2 linked regions of the Kluyveromyces lactis genome follow. The protein of the gene in region 1 purifies or fractionates together with the protein of each later gene. This does not show direct contact. Links are inferred from orthologs where the notes say so. Each region holds a gene or a part of one and is shown in the gene's direction. Other genes may lie near its edges.

The links.
Region 2: the proteins of SWE1 (region 1) and KLLA0_D15543g purify together in Saccharomyces cerevisiae (affinity purification with western blotting; 4 studies listed by BioGRID, with this or other methods). This does not show direct contact. The link is inferred for Kluyveromyces lactis from reciprocal best matches to the Saccharomyces cerevisiae genes SWE1 and CLB2.

Annotation. Positions count from the first base shown.
Region 1 is NC_006038.1:657,882-662,324, forward strand, and holds SWE1 (tyrosine protein kinase SWE1), read left to right. Parts: upstream 1-1,709; coding exon 1,710-3,878; downstream 3,879-4,443. Other genes in the region: CCP1 (cytochrome-c peroxidase), read left to right, coding at 1-948. UniProt on the Saccharomyces cerevisiae protein: Protein kinase that acts as a negative regulator of entry into mitosis (G2 to M transition) by phosphorylating and inhibiting the mitosis-promoting cyclin B-bound CDC28 at 'Tyr-19'.
Region 2 is NC_006040.1:1,312,324-1,316,000, forward strand, and holds KLLA0_D15543g (cyclin family protein), read left to right. Parts: upstream 1-1,436; coding exon 1,437-3,056; downstream 3,057-3,677. Other genes in the region: KLLA0_D15521g (SDR family NAD(P)-dependent oxidoreductase), read left to right, coding at 1-48. UniProt on the Saccharomyces cerevisiae protein: Essential for the control of the cell cycle at the G2/M (mitosis) transition. Interacts with the CDC2 protein kinase to form MPF. G2/M cyclins accumulate steadily during G2 and are abruptly destroyed at mitosis.

The DNA of each region.
Region 1 (4,443 bases):
GGTACAGTGATGGAATATCAAGATATGAGGAATTACAACAATCGTAATTATAACAAACAAAAATTGGCTGCGTTAGCAGCTGCTCATGTCGCAGCAAAGGAGAAATACGACGTTGCCAAGTATCAAAAAGTTTACAACGATATTGCGCTCAAGATAAGGGACGAAGACGAATACGACGACTTTATCGGTTACGGACCTGTGTTAGTACGTTTAGCATGGCACTGTGCTGGTACTTGGGATGCAAAGGATAACACCGGTGGTCCTTACGGTGGTACTTACAGATTCGCGATGGAGACCAACGATCCGTCCAACAATGGGTTGCAAAACGCTGCGAAGTTCTTGGAACCAATCCACGAGAAGTACCCTTGGTTATCTCATGGTGATTTATATAGTTTGGCTGGCGTTACGGCGATTCAAGAGATGCAAGGTCCCACAATTCCTTGGAGATCTGGTCGTGTGGACCAACCTGAGGATACTACTCCAGAAAACGGTAGATTACCTGATGCTTCTAAAGATGCGAAATACGTGAGATGCTTCTTCCACAGACTAAACTTCGAAGATAGACAAGTAGTTGCATTGTTGGGTGCGCATGCTTTGGGTAAGACACATTTGAAGAACTCTGGCTTCGAAGGCCCATGGGGTGCTGCCACCAATATCTTCACCAATGAATTCTACAACAACCTGCTAAACGAAAAATGGGACCTCATCACTAACGATGCCGGTAACAAACAATACGTCAACGATAAGGGCTGGATGATGTTACCAACAGATATGGCCTTGGTACAGGATCCGAAATACTTGCCTATCGTGAAAGAATTTGCAAACGACCAAGACACATTCTTTAAAGAATTCACCAAGGCCTTTGTAGTATTACTTGAAAACGGTATTGATTTCCCTCAAGAAAACAAACCTATAAAATTCAAGACCCTTGATGCCCAAGACTTATAAGTTTCTACTCCAAGAATCAAGCAAAACACACACATAAACACACACAAAACACTGCAGCATCAGGCCGTCATATCATAAAGTGCCTGCTATTTATTATTTATGTTAGTTCTTATATACGTTGTGAACTATCATAACTGTCTATTTATTCAAATCGGATAAGAAAAAACACGACGATATGCAAGTTTCTGAACAGACGCACATTCGATAGAAACAGTGATCCCCACTGAAACATAGAAATTCTGCCCTTCCACTCATATAATAGTCCTGCCAGGCTCATTCTTGCCAAGTGTGTTATGTTAGGGAATGGCCCGTCTTTGCAGTTGCCTAACGATTGCCACGAAAATCATCAACACGCGAAAAAAAACGAAAAACATAGAAACAGAACGACGTGTTGAGAAGATCAAAAATCGATGAAGTAAACACACAGGTGAAAACAAAAAAAAAGAGATCTAGAGGAACCAACCTCAACACTTTAACCATCACAGTTCTACCATCAACTAGATTCGTTCTATTGGATCCTTCCAATAGTTGACAAAAGTCTATTGTTTGTTGTTTTAAGACAGCTTTCCTGGTTGTCTGTTAATTCTGTACCAGGTTCTGTTTTGACAGTTCAGAACAAGGACAACGAGAACCCACCCGCCAAGGGGCCATAATTTGGGTGTTTTTGTTTCAGTAAATAGTTACTCGACGGTGTGACAAAAAGTAATCACTGAAGAATAAAGTACTCATCGAAGGGGATCATCAAAAGCACGACATAAACAATGCCATCGAAACGGAAAAACTCACTGCAGCCAAACTTTGGGCGCGTAACTGTCAACACTGCACTTTCACCTCGGGTAGAAGTTTACCAAGACATAAATGAAGAAGAGACTGACCATGCATACCAAAGTGATGTCGATCTTGATACGGATATGGACCTGGACGTTGAGTTTCATTACTATGACCAGCTTTCGCACTTCAGTAACAATTCCAATAATCTCAAGTTTTACTCGGAACCTCTGAGTTCAAGATCTAATTCTAATGACACTCCGTTGGGTCTTACGAGAAGTGTTGGTGTTCTCAATCTTTCATTGGAGACTGAAACGCCTGATGTGAAAGATCAAAAGTTTAATGAGGAAAATCAGTCCCATATCGACAGCAGAGTACCACAGCTTCAAAGGCCCCTCATCACTACAAGTGCCTCCAATTCAGCATCTAATAGTTTAAAGAGAACTGTGAGCAAGACTGGATTCAATATATCCTCTCCATTTTCCAAGAACAATGCTGCATATTTAAAGAGTTGGCATAGTACGAATGCTGCAACATCTAGTGATTTGTCCTCCACTAAGACTACAGGAAAAAGTAATAATTCGTTTACAGAAGCAAAACCGGATCCTGTAGCTTTTCAGTCATCTGGCCTTATTTCCAAAATGAAACAAACAATTCTACCCAAGAAGTTGACAATACCAGATACGCCTGTGAAGAAGTCTCCGCTGGTTTCGAGACATTCTGACCAAGAACTTTTGGACACACCAATATTAGAGCATTCATCTATCATGTCAGCACAAAATCAGACGACATTTCCTACGATGTATGATTCCCAACTTTTCAAATCTCCCCCGATGATAAATACCGTGTTACCTTCATCAGAAAACTCTCCTACCAGTTCCTCTAATCCAAGATCTAAAAAGAGAACTAAAATTGTAAAGAACACAGAATTGACCTCAATGTTGAGACAAATCACGGACGATTTGTACGGACACGATCAAGAAAGTTCAATCTTTTCACCGTCACCCTCAAAGACAAATCTTCAAACTCCAACGAAAACATCCTTTGATATTGGTCCTGATTCTCTGGCTATCATGACAAAACTGCGAAACGATCCAACACATCTTCAACCACCTGAGAAGCAAAGATCAATCAATGCAAGTATCATGAAAAACCCTGATTTCCATCTAACGACCAAATTCAGTAATGTATCCATAATGGGAAAAGGTCAGTTTTCTACTGTCTACCAAGTGACTTTCCCAGAAACTGGTTTAAAATACGCCATCAAAAGTGTACGACCAACTAAACATAATTTTACCAATCGAATTCTACAAGAAATCAATATGTTGTCAACAATTCAGGATTCAGTTACAAATGACACAGAAGGTAAGGAATATATCGTAGAATTTATTTCTTCGTGGTCACATAAAGGTTCATTTTATATAATGACAGAATTCTGCGAAAATGGAAATTTAGATGCTTTTATACAAGAGCACGTCATTGCTAAACAACAACGATTGGAAGATTGGAGGATATGGAAGATTATCGTTGAAATCTGTCTAGCTTTGAGATTCATCCATGATTCCTGTTCAATTGTTCATTTAGATTTGAAGCCAGCTAATGTTCTCATAACTTTCGAAGGTAATTTGAAACTTGCTGATTTTGGGATGGCTACAAAGTTGCCAATAGAAGATAAAAGTTTTGAAAACGAGGGTGACCGTGAATATATTGCCCCGGAAATTATACGTGACGGAATATACGATTTCCGTGCTGACATCTTCTCCCTTGGGCTAATGATGATTGAAATCGCTGCTAACGTTATTTTGCCTGATAACGGAAGTGCATGGCATAAATTGAGGTCTGGTGATCTATCTGATGCTGGCAGATTAAGTAGTGCGGAGATCCATTCGAGCTCACTCTTTTCCAATAAAAAAGATCATACGAATATCACTGACATCACAACGCATGAGACAAAAATTCCAGCGTGGGTACCGAAGTTTTTATTAGACGGAATATCGCTGGAAAGGACTATCAGATGGATGATCGAACCGGATTACAGAGATCGTCCATCTGCATCTGATTTACTCCGCACCGAGGAATTAGAATATGTAGAACTAACAAGAAAGACAGGTGCAGTTATTCATGAGGATGACTACGGCCCAAAACCAGAATTCTTCTCCTAATTCACTTCAAGAAAATATAGAACATGTTATGATATTCAGCTTTACATAAACCAGCTTTACATAAACCAGTTTACGTCTGTTCTTTCTCTATAATGCCCTAATACTGACATAATAACAGCTCCGTTCATTTTCCTTTTACTTTTACTGGTTTTTTAATTTTTTGACATAAAAAATATACATGAGGAACATGTATATTAAACAGATATTCAGAGACTTTATGAGAAATTACAACGAGAGAGATGCAGTGGTGTGCAACGTTTGAACAAAAACGAACACCAGGTGGGGATAACGACGTGAGGTCACGTTAGAGGATGCACGTACTTGTGCATACTTATAGGTTAACACCCACAATTCTTATATAATGAACTCGCGTTTTGGATCAATAATATGATGAGTTATCAAACACTCTTTAAGCTAGATAGTATCTGAAATTATAATGATTTTAGTGTATTTGAACATTTTTAATACCTCTGATATTTTTCCAAAACTTGAATTATCTATGTAGCCTCATCCATTTATCTTTGCATACCGTACCTTGTTGATATTCCAACGCGAAGCAATTCGG
Region 2 (3,677 bases), on another chromosome or scaffold:
ACTACAGGTTCAGTGTATCCAATCGATGGTGGATTTTTGGCTCAGTGAAAGTACTGTGCAGTACCCCCAAAAAAAAAGATGCGTTTACAACCAACCTAGTTCAATGCCGTCGTGTCTATACTATATACAAGTTGCTTAATTATCGTTTATAGCAATTGTCATCTTTAAAATGGTGCACAGAGAAAACACAAACAGCATTTTGCAGCTGGAATTCACCAACGATCGCGCGTATGAATAGTCTTAACTTCGCTAGGGAGAAAAACAGCCAGTGCCAGGAATAGGGCCAGAGCCAGGTCCTGTGTTTGCACTCATGCTACGGCCTGATTTCTTTATTGATCGAACACTTCCTAATAAGGAAAAAGGTAAACAACTATGCATATTTACGTTTTAGGAAAAATGTAAATAAACCGATGGACTTTTCACAAAAGCTCATCGCTTTGTAATTTGGTGCTACCTTTCTGACAAAGAAGCATCAACTGACTATATGAGCAACTGAGCGGATTGGGGGGATAGGGCATCACTGCGCATACTCCATTGCAGTATTCCTTTGGGTACTCCATGCTTGTGGTTACATTTTTCTTTTGGTTATTATTACAGAATGACGACAACGTTCGGTGACTGAGGGAATCCTCATTAGATTCTGTGAAGGGGAGGGGCGTCTGCTATGAAGCCATAAATCAACGTAGAGGTTCTTTGTAGACATTTAAAATTTCTTTTGTGCTACTTCTCCCGACAGTTGAAGCATCTGTAGTGAGGTATTCTTCTTTATCTTAGAAGTAAGAAGTTTTTGCTGCGTCTGTCTCAGTGACGATAGAGAAAAAGTAGGCTTTAAGCGAACGATCACAAAAGCTTCTCACGGTTCTTAAAGCTTTTTCGGTGAATCTTTCCATACAACTGGTGAAGAATTTGTATTGTTCCGATTGGAGTGAGCCTGTTTTTTCTTTTTGAACTTTTCTGGTTTGTTGTCCCTTGCTGTTTCTTTATTATTGTTTTGTTACTTCCTCAATAGGTTAGTTTCCAAATCGAATCTGAATCTGATCCAAGCTTTTCAGATTCATTATTTCAATAAAGAGGTTTTAGCTTTGAACAATCCCAGTCCATAGTTGACAATAGTCGATAGGAAACATACTACCAAGAGTATCGCCAGCGGTGAAGACATTGCTATCGGTAGAGACAGTGATAGCAGAAAGCAAGTTGATCAAGAGATCCTACGTCTTGCTCCTAAAAAGAATCGCAGAGTTTTTTTATACTGGAATCAAGATCTGTTGGTATAACTCTTAATTATTGATCTCCTGCAGAACTCATTGGGAAATTGGTAATAGAATAGTTGACTGAGTTGATTGCTAAAGCAGGTACTAAAGAAAGTGCAATTGTCTTTCTTTCCGATCTCTTCTTTTTAACAGAAACTAAATTAAAGACAATTCTGTCAAAGCATTATGTCAAAGGATAAATATGATAGAAGCTTGAAAAACTTGAACATGCTAAGAAGACCAGTGTTAAACAATGTTACTAATACTACTGAATCTACGTTCGGTAAAGTTTTGAGGCAGGCTAAATCAAGACTGCAGAATAGCAGGACGAATAATCTTCCCCAGGGTACCGCAAACTCGTATTCGAACACAAAACCGGCACCATTGAGAGATGACATAATGGTACCTGAGGATAAGGAGAATTACAATCCGCTAGCTAAGATTGATGAAAGAGAGGAGCTGGATTCTAATCTAGTTCATAATCACAAATCCCTGGGTACACAAAAGCATGTTACGATCGATGAAAGACAAGAAATAATTGGATATTCACATCTGGATACTGAAAAGTCTGCTCCATCATCATCAACATACAGCAGTGAGCATACGGAAAATGACGGCGTTCACGACGTCAACCCAAATGTTCAGCGTTCAGATAATGAAGCTGATTTCAAGATGCAAACCACAAACGCTTTTCACGAAAACGTCAACGATGGCAGTGACGCAACAGATGATGCCAGTAGTGGAAGTAAGAGTAGCAATGAATGCCCTGCTGTTAACGTCGGAAACAGCCTTGCGCCTATGCCAATTGACGAAAATGCTAACAATAGCGCTAGCAGTGTCGAATTGAGAGCAAAGCAACTTCAGGTTGAGGATTCGAAAAAGAGACCAATAAGCACTGTCGTTGAACAAACGTTACCTAAGAAATTTAAAGTATGTGAAAAGGGTAAAGAATATGAATGGGAAGATCTTGATGAAGAAGATATCAATGATCCCTTCATGGTAAGCGAATATGTTACAGATATCTTTGAATATTTGCACAGATTGGAAATGATGACTTTGCCTAACAGACACGAACTATTCAAACATGCCAACATTCAGCAAAATAGGGATATTTTAGTTAACTGGATGGTAAAGATTCATAACAAGTTTGGCCTACTGCCGGAAACCTTATATTTGGCGTTGAATATCATGGATAGATTCCTTTGCAAAGAGTTAGTACAGCTGGAAAAACTACAATTAGTAGGAACAGCGTGCTTATTCATCGCTTCGAAATATGAAGAAGTGTATAGCCCCAGTGTGAAACACTTCGCTTACGAAACGGATGGTGCATGCGATGAAGAAGAAATCAAAGAAGGAGAGAAATTTATTCTAAAAACGTTAGAGTTCAATCTCAATTATCCAAATCCCATGAATTTCCTAAGAAGGATATCTAAGGCAGATGACTATGATATACAATCCAGAACATTGGCGAAATATTTGCTTGAGATATCCATAGTTGACTTCAAATTCATTGGGATTCTACCCTCATTGTGCGCCGCAGCATCTATGTTCTTATCGAGAAAGATGTTAGGAAAGGGCCAATGGGATGGAAATCTAATACACTATAGTGGAGGATATACCAAAGACGAACTAGCTCCCGTGTGTAATATGGTTATGGAATATTTGGTCCAGCCTGTTGTACATGATGAATTGTTTAAGAAATACGCTTCGAGAAGATTTATGAAAGCATCGGTAATTTCTAGACAATGGGCAAAGAAAGTCATGTCCCACAACTATGATATAATGACACTACATGATTCAGAATAAATCACGAGATTCGATCATTTAAAGAAACCATGATCCTTCCGGCCTTAATTACTGAGTATGATTGGCCATTGTAGTGCCAATATGAAATGTTATCGAGGGACTTTTTCCTATAAGAAGAAATTCGAATCACGGGGTCAGAGATATGGAATCAATCTGATCCAATACTCAATTAGTTTCTGGGAAGTGGAATAGTACATGTTGCGCGTTAAAGGGAGGCATTCTAAAAGCATACTAAACCCAAAAAAAAAAAAAAACGATAACTATACTAATACTAATCATAATAGAAAACAAACATTGTAATAATTAATCTAGCCAACCCACATGTGTCAATGTGTTTTCCATTCAACAGATAAAATGAGGATTTAGACCTTAGTGAACCCTTTACTTCAATTCACTTTTAATATTTCACCTGCTCAAAAACTCAGAAAGAGTTCTCTCAGGATCATCAGTATCAGCATTATGTTGCAATCATAGGTATACCCACCCCTTACCCTTTAAAGTATAACCACTTCAAATAATTTACTTCTTATGTACACTTAGCATGTTTCTGAACTAATTTCAATTAATGAATAAGTCATTTTTTAACTATTATTATTAGTTGATTACTCGATTAATTATTTA